Linked DNA regions of Sus scrofa. The protein of the gene in region 2 interacts with the protein of the main gene of each other region in a biochemical or structural test. Links are inferred from orthologs where the notes say so. Each region holds a gene or a part of one and is shown on either strand. Other genes may lie near its edges.

Region 1 (3,517 bases), on a different chromosome or scaffold from region 2:
TGACTGTGGCTGTGGCCAGCTGGCCTTGTTCAGTGGGTTAAGGATCTGGAGTTGTTGTGAGCTGTGGTGTAGGTCACCAACACAGCTCAGATCCCATGTTGCTCTGGCTGTGGCTGTGGCCAGCAGCTATAGCTCCAATTCAAGCCCTAGCCTGGGAGCCTCCATTTGCCACTGGTGCAGCCCTAAAATAGTGATTAAAAAAAAAAAAAAATTAACCTATCCATAGTAACAGTATTGGGAAGATGGAGAAGACATTTATATAGTAAGAAGTTGCTACAGTATGTGTGAAATGGAAAGATCAAGTAACAATAATTTATGCATTTTGAAATATGGAGGTAAATCTTAGAAGCAGCTCTTTTTAAAAAGTTGAAATTTGATGTCTCAGGGTAACTGGAAGGCTGTGGGAGGGAATTGCTGTTTTTTTCAGTAAGAATCCTTGTATTATTTGACATTTTAAATTAGTGTAAACAATGAAATTACTACCTTTTTAAACATTAAATTTTCTTAGTTTGGCAAATTTTTTTTTTTTGTCTTTTCGTCTTTTTGCCTTTTCTTGGGCCGCTCCCGCAGCATATGGAGGTTCCCAGGCTAGGGGTCCAATCGGAGCTGTAGCTGCCAGCCTACCCCAGAGCCACAGCAATGTGGGATCTGAGCCACATCTGCAACCTACACCACAGCTCATGGCAACGCCGGATCATTAACCCACTGAACAAGGGCAGGGATCGAACCCGCAACCTCATGGTTCCTAGTCGGATTCGTTAACCACTGCGCCACGACGGGAACTCCCAGTTTGGCAAATTTTAATTTTTTATTCATAACCACAGACTTTACTGACTTGTAATATATAAGAGGCTCAGCTACATAACTGTTACTTATGAACTTATTTTTTTTTTAAGGATGTTTGTTTGTTTGTTTTTGCTCTTTAGGGCCACACCTGTGGCATATGGAGGTTCCCAGGCTAGGGGGCCAATCGGAGCTGTAGCTGCCAGCATATGCCATAACCACAGCAATGCAGGATCCAAGCTGCGTCTGCAACCTACACCACAGCTCACGGCAATGCCAGATCCTTAACCCACTGAGCGAGGCCAGGGATCGAACCCTCAACCTCATGGTTCCTATTTGGATTCATTTCCACTGAGCCACAACAGGAACTCCAAAGGATGAACATTCTCACAGTACCCTTTTCTTAATGTTTTTCAGTTGCCTTGTAGAAGGAGATGCTAAGGAGGAGATACTGCAGCCTCCGGAACCTCACCCAGTTCCACCAATCTTGACACCTTCTCCCCCTTCAGCTTTTCCAACAGTCACTACTGTGTGGCAGGACAATGACAGATATCATCCAAAGCCAGTGTTGCACATGGTTTCATCAGAACAACATTCAACAGACCTCAACAGAAACTATAATAAATCAACAGAACTTACAGCAAAAAACGAATCAGCTGTTGAACAGATAGATAAAAAATTGGAGCGCAATTTAAGTTTTGAGATTAAGAAGGTCCCTCTCCAAGAGGGACCAAAAAGCTTTGATGGGAACACACTCTTGAATAGGGGACATGCAATTAAAATTAAATCAGCTTCGGCTTCACCTTGTATTACCGATAAAATCTCTAAGTCACAGGAATTGAGTTCAAGGGATCTAAAAGTTGATGATATTTCCCAGAATTCTTGTGTGGACTGCAGTGCAACACAGTCGAATAAAGCTCCAGTTATTTTACCGGAAGAATTACAGAAGAATTCAGACACACCTCCAAGGCCAGACCGCTTGCCTCTTGATGAGAAAGGACGTGTAACATGGTCATTGCATGGACCTGAAAATACTCCACCTATGCCTGATTCATCTGAAGGCAAATCCTCAGATACCCACTGTCAAACAAAGAAAACTGTGAGTTTAACGCCAAGTCCTACAACACAAGTTGAAACCCGTGATCTCTCAGATCATCAAAACAGTTCCCCTCTATTCAGAGCACCCCTCAGTTTTACTAATCCTCTTCACTCTGATGACTCGGACTCAGATGAAAGGAACTCTGATGGTGCTGTGACCAAGAATAAAACCAGTGTTTCAACAGCAAGTGCCACAGTTTCTGCTGCCGCTAGTACTGAAAACATTTCTACAAGGAAAGTATTACCAATGTCCATTGCTAGACATGATATAGCAGGAACAATACATTCAGGTGCTGAAAAAGGTAATAATTAATAGTATCTAACACAAATATTTTTACTATGTGCCAGTCACTGTTCTAAGAAGTTATGTTTTATTTCATACCTTACTCTAGAACCTACAGCAGGATGTCATTATTTTCAATACTATTTTTTAAGTAAGTTTTGTTACCTTAGTTTGATCACATTACATTACTAGATCAATTTTGGTGTTTTCAAAATATTTCAATTATCATAACTGAAAATTCTCTCTTATAGCTCTTAGTATTTATATGGGTCAAAAATTTATATGACTGAATAATTAGAAATTATTTAGGGAAGACAGAATTACTTAAAGTGACTATGACACAGGAGTTCCCGTGGTGGCTCAGCGGTTAATGAATCCACCTAGGAACCGTGAAGTTGCAGGTTCGATCCCTGGCCTTGCTCAGAGGGTTAAGGATCTGGCGTTGCCATGAACTGTGGTATAGGCTGGTGGCTACAGCTCTGATTAGACCCCTAACCTGGGAACCTCCATATGCTGCAGGTGTGGCCCTAAAAAAGGCAAAAAGACAAAAAAAAAAAAGTGACTATGACACTAATACTGTAAAATGGCTTGATTGGCCATTTAATTTTACCCATGTATGTTATATTTTATATGATCTTCCAACTACAAAATAACTTTTAAAAATTCTCTTCACAAATGCTTACAAATAAGACTCCTTTCAACTCTGAATTTAACCAAGGAGCAACATGGCAACTACTCAGCAGAATATGGGAGGTTTAATTCAGTCAGTAGTAAGTGGGATATTTCCATATCTAATCAGCAGTGCTACTAATATTTAGTTAATCACTCTCTTCTTTAAGTAGTCTAAGCATTTCAAGATAATGCATGCCCCAAGTTCCCAAGATATATTATTGGTTCTTGAAACTCTTTAGTCTGCTAAAAATTATCATGGCCGCCATCTTAGACCATAAAGTTGAGCAAATACATAAACATGAAAGCTACTTACTGATTGATTATCATTGGTCTTTTACTTGTCAGTGAACGTTGGTTGTGACACATACAGACTGCTATTTATAATATGCATGCAAAATAAGTACTGTAAATTTGAAAGATCACTTTTTCCATTTCTGACCCAGTACCATCCATACTGTGGCCTCTTTAGTTTCTTCAGCTCACACGTACTTTATTTTTTTTATCTTAAGAACATATGTGATAGAGTAAATGAGAGTCTAACCTAGTTTCTTAAATTTACAGGATTCTCCTCTGTGCTCTTGATTCTACTGTTTTATTTGAAGGGTCTTCAGAAAATTCTTTACCAGTTTGGCATAATATGAAGTTATTTAATGTTGTTTTCTTCCTTGACATCAGAGTTTG
Region 2 (3,233 bases):
AGAGAGGTGAGGCGTGGTGGGGAGCGCTGGGTGGGGCCGGCTGTCAGAGAGACAGGTGAGCAGGACCCGGGAGCTCAGCAGGGGCTCCTGCTGCGGAGAATGAGGGCGAGGGCCCCGTCTGTGCGTGCCCCCCGCCTTCCCCCCGAGTTCCCTGACAGCCTCTGCTGTGCCCCCAGCCTGCCACATCCTGGAGTGTCCCGAAGGGCTTGCTCAGGACGTCATCAGCACCATTGGCCAGGCCTTTGAGTTGCGCTTCAAACAATACCTCAGGAACCCGCCCAAGCTGGTCACCCCTCATGACAGGTGAGCAGGCGAGCGGTGGGGGGGGGCAGCTCTCGGGCTGGGACCGGAATTGGAAAAGTAGGTCTGCTCTTCCCACGCTTGAGCTCAGAGAGGAGCAGGGAAGGAAATAACCTGTGAGCCCCTGCTTCCCACTTCCTGCTATTCTTACGTTTCCTGAGGCCATGGGGAAGGCCTTTCGAGGCCCTGCCTGCTGCCAGGCCAGCTCTTCCTCTCGGGTGCCCGTGCTGGAGCTGTAGTCCAGGGCCGCCCGCTCCAGCTCTTCCTGGCTGGATGGGCTTTCCTAGTCCCAGCCATCTCTTTCTGGCCTGTCCCTCTCTCTTGCCCATTTCTCCATATTTAGTGCCTTCTTGCCCCTAGAAGCCATCAAGAATTTGGGCGAGGGAGCATGGCTCTTTCCTGAGATCCTTACCTCTCCCACTTCAGACCAGCAGTGTTGAGAATTTAGGGGAGGTTAAAATATTCCAGAGGGAGATTCTGTTGTGGCTCAGCGGTAACAAACCCGACTAGTATCCATGAGGATTCAGGTTCAGTCCCTGGCCTCTGTCTCTGGGTTAAGGATCCGGCGTTGCCGTGAGCTGCGGGGTAGGTCATGGCTTGGATCTGGCATTGCTATGGCTGTGGTGTAGACCGGCAGCTCCAGGTGCAATTTGACCCCTAGCTTGGGAACCTCCATATGCTGTAGGTGGAGCACCCCAAATAGTGGTGCTGCTTCCCCTCCCTCTTGGGAGACAGCATAACGATCGAGGGCATGCCTCTAAAGTCAAATTTGAACTTATGTCTCTCAGATTCACCACTTTTTATTTTATTTTTTAATTTTTTAAATTATTTATTTATTTAGTCTTTTGAGGGCCACACCTGTGGCATATGGAGGTTCCCAGGCTAGGGGTAGCATCAGAGCTGTAGCTGCCGGCCTGCGCCACAACCACAGCAACACTGGATCCTTAGCCCGCTGATCGAGGGCAGGGATCAAACCTGCATCCTCATGGATACTAGTCGGGTTCGTTCCCACTGAGCCACGACAGGAACTCCTTCACCACTTTTTTTTTGTTTGTTTGTTTGTTTTAGGGCCACACCCATGGCAGATGGAGGTTCCCAGGCTAGGGGTCTCATTGGAGCTGTTGCTGCCAGCCTACGGCCACAGCCACAGCATCGCAGGATCCGAGCCTCGTCTGTGACCTATACCACAGCTCACGGCAACACCGGATCCTTAACCGACTAAGCGAGGCCAGGGGTCGAACCGGCAACCTCATGGTTCCTAGTCGGGTTCGTTTCCACTGCACCACGACAGGAACTCCCTTCACCAATTTTTAGTTGGGAGACCAGGGTAAATCTTTTCACCCCCGACCCTCCCTCATTTTCCTCATCTACAAAATCGGAGAAGGAAATGAAACCTACCTTCTAGGGTTGCCAGGAGGAGGACATGATTCCATATATAAAACACCCCACGTCAAGCCTGCCCCTCAGGGATTGCGCAGTCCATGGCCGCTGTTCTCTTCTCCCTCCGTCCTCCCTCCCACGTGCCTCTCTCCTTCCTGTCCCTCCCAGGATGGCTGGCTTCGATGGCTCAGCTTGGGATGAGGAGGAGGAAGAGCCGCCTGACCATCAGTACTATAATGACTTTCCGGGGAAGGAGCCCCCTCTTGGGGGGGTAGTGGACATGAGGCTTCGGGAAGGAGTGCCCCCAGGGGCTGCTCGACCCACTCCCCCCAGCGCCCAGACCCCCAGCCACCTGGGAGCCACACTGGTGAGTTGCTTGGGGGGGAAGTGGGCTGGGCCCAGGACGGGAGTGGCTGGTTAGGGCCTCTGGCCTCACCTGATTTTTTGTCCCTTCAGCCTGTGGGGCAGCCTCCTGGGGGCGACCCAGAAGCCCGCAAACAGATGCTGCCGCCTCCACCCTGCCCAGGTAGGAAGGGGGCTGAGAGGGGCAGAGCCGGGGTGTGCGAAGCAGGGCGGGGGTCGCTGTAAAGCCTCCCTTTCTTCAGCAGGCAGAGAGCTCTTTGATGATCCCTCTTATGTCAACGTCCAGAACCTAGACAAGGCCCGGCAAGCAGGGGCCGGGGCCGGGCCCCCCAATCCTACTATCAATGGCAGTGCACCCCGAGACCTCTTTGACATGAGTAAGTGCGCCTCTGTCTTTCCTGCACCTGCCTCTTCCCGCTGGGTTCCTCTTCTTCTTTTTTTTTTTTTTTTTTTTTTTTTTTTTGTCTTTTTGCCATTTCTTGGGCCACTCCTATGGCATATGGAGGTTCCCAGGCTAGGGGTGGAATCGGAGCTGTAGCTGCCAGCCTACGCCAGAGCTACAACACCAGATCCAAGCCGCGTCTGTAACGTATACCACAGCTGACGGCAATGCCAGATCCTTAACCCACTGAGCAAGGCCAGGGATCGAACCCGCAACCTCATGGTTCCTAGTCGGATTCGTTAACCACTGAGCCATGACGGGAATTCCTGGGTTCCTCTTCTTTTCCTGCTTATCTGCTCTTTCCTTCCTGGCTTCCCCTCCCTGAAGGTCTGGGCCCTGGGCATGTGTCGTGCCAGCCCCCCTCCTAGCCCTCTCTCTGCACCCCCAGAGCCCTTCGAAGATGCCCTTCGGGTGCCTCCACCTCCCCAGTCGGTGGCCATGGCCGAGCAGCTCCGAGGGGAGCCCTGGTTCCACGGGAAGCTGAGCCGGCGCGAGGCCGAGGCACTGCTGCAGCTCAACGGGGACTTCCTGGTGCGGGAAAGCACGACCACACCTGGCCAGTACGTGCTGACCGGCTTGCAGAGTGGGCAGCCCAAGCACCTGCTCCTGGTGGACCCTGAGGGTGTGGTGAGTGTGGCAGAGGCATGGGTGGCGTGGCAGGAAGGACGGTGCAGCACCCTCCCGGGCAGCCCTGTTCTTGCCCTCACTGCTTCCTAGACTTGGCCCGACGGGCACCTCTGTCTGGGCC
Region 3 (3,517 bases), on a different chromosome or scaffold from region 2:
AACTCATGGCTTGGCACTGCAGAGACGCCTGCTCTGGGCTCTGGCCAGGTTCAGGAGAGGACCTCCCCTTCTTGCCCCACACAAATTCCTCATTCATTACTTTGAGCTGGAAATACAAGTGCCCTCTCTTCAGCCCTGGAGAAGCGAGTGAAGAAAGCTGATCCCAAGGGAAGGGAGGGCTGCGTGGAGGGGGCTGAATTTGGGGTGGAGGCTGGGAGACACAGTTCAACCTCCATCACCATACGACCCTCAGACCCTTGTATTTCTCATAAGAAATTAGGGATCACACCACCCATCATGGTGGGAGGAGGCATCCAAAGAGACTGCCTAGGAGCGTGACCAGCTCAGGGTCAGCCCCTGTGGACTTTGAGCTAAGTGGAGTCGGAATCTGAAGGGGAGAAGGGCCCCAGGGGTCTGCAGGGTGGCCTGGGCAGGCATGGTGATGGAGTGCAGGGCAGCCCTGGTGCCTAGATTTTGCTCTTCCCAGCTAAGGAGGAGGAAATGCCTCCTGGCTCGAACTAAAGAAGATGAGTTCCCAGCCTGGGCCTCTGGCCCTCTGCTCCCTTGCCAGGCATGGCCCCCACCGACTGTCAAGAGCCCAGGGTCCAGGGGGGCCTTGCCCAGAGCTGATTTAGTAGCTGTTGTCTGTGAAGAAGGGCACATGGGTGGATGGGGTGCTGTCGCCCTCCTCTTGTGGCCCTGCCAGCTCCCCGTACTCGCTGTTGTAGAACACCTGACCCCGGGCTCCCCGGTCTGGCCGCCGCCACCGCCCTTGGGGGTCAGGGTGCACTGCAGTCACATCCGCATTCCTGCCAGGTCCTTTACAGCTGCCAAGACAAGGAAGGTGGTGTCAGTAAGAAAAGAAGAGAGCTTGGAGCTGGGTCAGGGTTTGATCCGTATCACGAAGGACACAACCAGAGCCTCGAGTGGGCGCAAAGCCAATGGGAACACATACAGACTTGACTTAAACAGAAAAACAAACCCATGTGACTATTGGCAAACACCAGAGCTTTCTCTGTCCCAAGCCTGGGCGTGGGACAATGGAGAAGCCCAACTTCATCCCACTAAACCTACTTCTCTTCCAGTCTTGGCACGAAGCGCATCAACATGGTTCAATGGCTTAAGTGCCTGGGTGTCATCCTTTCTTCCCTTTCCCGCATCCCTCATATCCAGCCCATCCAGGAGTCCTGTCCTTTCTACTCTGCAATACATCCCGGCACTTCTCTCCATGCTTTGCCCCTGCCTTAGAGTGAGAGGCCCATCACTGCACATTCCTCACGGCTCTAGCTCATCTTCCTTCTCCCACTCATGCCTCCCTGTAGGCCAGTCTTCAGAGAACCTTCAAGTTTGACGATGTCCTTAGTCCCCTGGCTGACTTTCCAATGGGTTCCAGTCACTCTCAGAATAAAACCTGGAGTTCCCTTTGTGGCACAGTGGAAATAAATCCAACTAGGGAACATGTGGTTGTGGGTTCAATCCCTGGCCTCGCTATGTGGGTTAAGGATCCGGGCGTTACGATTCGACCCCTAGCCTGGGAAACTCCATGTGCCGTGGGTGCAGCCCTAAAAAGACAAAAACAAACAAACAAACAGAAAGAAGCATTAGCCAGAAACAATTTCTGCCAATGCAATTAGCATTCATTTTCCAAAACTAGTTTACTATTAGAGATCACCCAATAGAATCAATAAAAACACAACTGGAGGCCAAGATGCATGATATGTATGTGGTAACTGTCCCCAGGCATATGACCCCACAACCACCTGTGTTCACGTGCTGCAAACATGCCCTTCACAGCCTGCTGGGAAAATAACAGATAGTTGGTTTAAGGTGCAGAGGTCTTCAATCCCCTCACCCGAAAGGTAAAAAATGACATCAACTATCCTAACATGATACCAAGTCACACCTGTGGTCTAGGGCGCACTATTCAGTGACATCTTCACATACCAATTCCCAAACAACCCATGCAGAAGTCAAGATTTGCTCTGGAGAAACTATGTCAAAGGCACAGGTATCAAAGGTGGAGCTGAATGATCTGAACACGTGTCTTAAGAAAGTGGAAAAGCATTTTATATGATAGTGTAGGTCCTGTCATGTAAACAGCTATGAGCCAGTCAACTGATCAAATGAATGAGTAGACTTTTAACTATTTTATATATACCCTTCAAAGTTTAAATATTCAGAAATATTCAGATTTTGTGTTCTTGTGGGGTTGGTTTTTTTTTTTTGGTTTTTTTTTTTTTGGTTTTTTGGGTTTTTGGGTTTTGTCTGTTTTGTTAAGAGGAGGAAGCTATCTTCTTGGGCAAATAGAGCTCACTATCTATTCAGGTCGCCCTCTGTGCAGGTGCACAGGAGGATTTCTCTGGAACCACATTCCTATCAAAGTAGGGTGCAAGTCAGCTCTGGGTCACGTGATCTGCTGGCTCCTGTGGCCACCAGGCTAAGGGCTGGGGATCAGGGATGGTGCTGGGCTCCCCTGGCTGGGAGAGGGGTGGTAGGTGCCATTGGCATACTGCATCATTCTTGGTTTCACAAAGAGACGTCTTCTGAGCAACTGTCAAATGGAAGAGAGGGTTGGGAACCAGCCCCAGGTGCACTGGGTCAGGACGGTGATGGGGGAGGGAGGTCCTCTGGGGAGGCTGGTGGACTAAGGCCTCAAGTCTCAGGGCCTTGGACGCACAAAAAGGCAACACGGAACTGTGTAAGTGTCAAGTAAGAGAGCGACAGGTACATGCCAGCCTGGCCTCCTTCCCCTGGTCTCTGGCAGGGGAGGAGGCTCCAGACGCCTTACCTGAGCTTGCCTTCTTGTCTGTGTCTGTTCTCCAGCCGCTCAAACTCCTCAGAGGCCAGCACCATCCCACTGTCCGTCTGGTTATCCTGTGCAGAGAGAATAAGCCAAGGCTGTGGGATCCACTGAGGCATAAACCTTCATCGCACCCGACCTAACACTCATCCAGTGGGAAGTGTGGGGGAAATGGGTGTCCACTTGCTCACCAGAGCCTGCAGGTAAGGGTCACACGCCCTCACCTTGGAAGGAGAAACTGAGGCTTGCAGGGGCTGTGTATTGCTACTCAGGAGGGCAGCAAAACTGGGAGGACCCCCACCCCCACCCCTGTAGGGGGACATATAAGGCAGCCATGCAAACGGCACAGGCAGAGCAGGAGCACCAGGAGAAACAAGGAAAGTATCAAAAGAACCTGGCAGCTCACAGTATAGAAAAATGATCCTCAGACTCATGTAGTGGGGCTCTGGCACCCTTAGTGTGCATGGCATGGTTTTCATTTTGATTTACATGGAAGGGAACGGCACTCTTGTCAGAGCTGCCCCCGACTCCCCAACGCCTCCATCAGGCCCTGGGGACATGAGACAGGTCCACACAGCTCTGGTCCAGGGCTCTCACTGTGGCCCCTGCCAGCCAGGTGCTCCAGGTCCGGCTGCCCGGCTCTCTGGCGGGAGTCAGATGTCAGGAAGTCCTAAGGCCAGCAGCACTGACCAGCCCCATCTAGGGAGCCTGGGAGGC

The links. The genes of interacting proteins can lie anywhere in the genome.
Region 1: the proteins of SHC1 (region 2) and PTPN12 form a complex in vitro, tested with the Homo sapiens proteins (2 studies listed by BioGRID). The link is inferred for Sus scrofa from reciprocal best matches to the Homo sapiens genes SHC1 and PTPN12.
Region 3: the proteins of SHC1 (region 2) and FLT4 form a complex in vitro, tested with the Homo sapiens proteins (2 studies listed by BioGRID). The link is inferred for Sus scrofa from reciprocal best matches to the Homo sapiens genes SHC1 and FLT4.

The regions. Positions count from the first base shown.
Region 1 is NC_010451.4:102,490,733-102,494,249, reverse strand, and holds part of PTPN12 (tyrosine-protein phosphatase non-receptor type 12), read left to right. Parts: exon of another isoform or gene 1-1,200; coding exon 1,201-2,183; intron 2,184-3,517. UniProt on the Homo sapiens protein: Dephosphorylates a range of proteins, and thereby regulates cellular signaling cascades. Dephosphorylates cellular tyrosine kinases, such as ERBB2 and PTK2B/PYK2, and thereby regulates signaling via ERBB2 and PTK2B/PYK2.
Region 2 is NC_010446.5:94,825,817-94,829,049, forward strand, and holds part of SHC1 (SHC-transforming protein 1), read left to right. Parts: coding exon 1-6; intron 7-176; coding exon 177-303; intron 304-1,848; coding exon 1,849-2,047; intron 2,048-2,136; coding exon 2,137-2,206; intron 2,207-2,285; coding exon 2,286-2,420; intron 2,421-2,873; coding exon 2,874-3,112; intron 3,113-3,233. UniProt on the Homo sapiens protein: Signaling adapter that couples activated growth factor receptors to signaling pathways. Participates in a signaling cascade initiated by activated KIT and KITLG/SCF.
Region 3 is NC_010444.4:78,110,504-78,114,020, reverse strand, and holds part of FLT4 (vascular endothelial growth factor receptor 3), read right to left. Parts: intron 2,875-3,517; coding exon 2,789-2,874; intron 828-2,788; coding exon 632-827; 3' UTR 1-631. UniProt on the Homo sapiens protein: Tyrosine-protein kinase that acts as a cell-surface receptor for VEGFC and VEGFD, and plays an essential role in adult lymphangiogenesis and in the development of the vascular network and the cardiovascular system during embryonic development.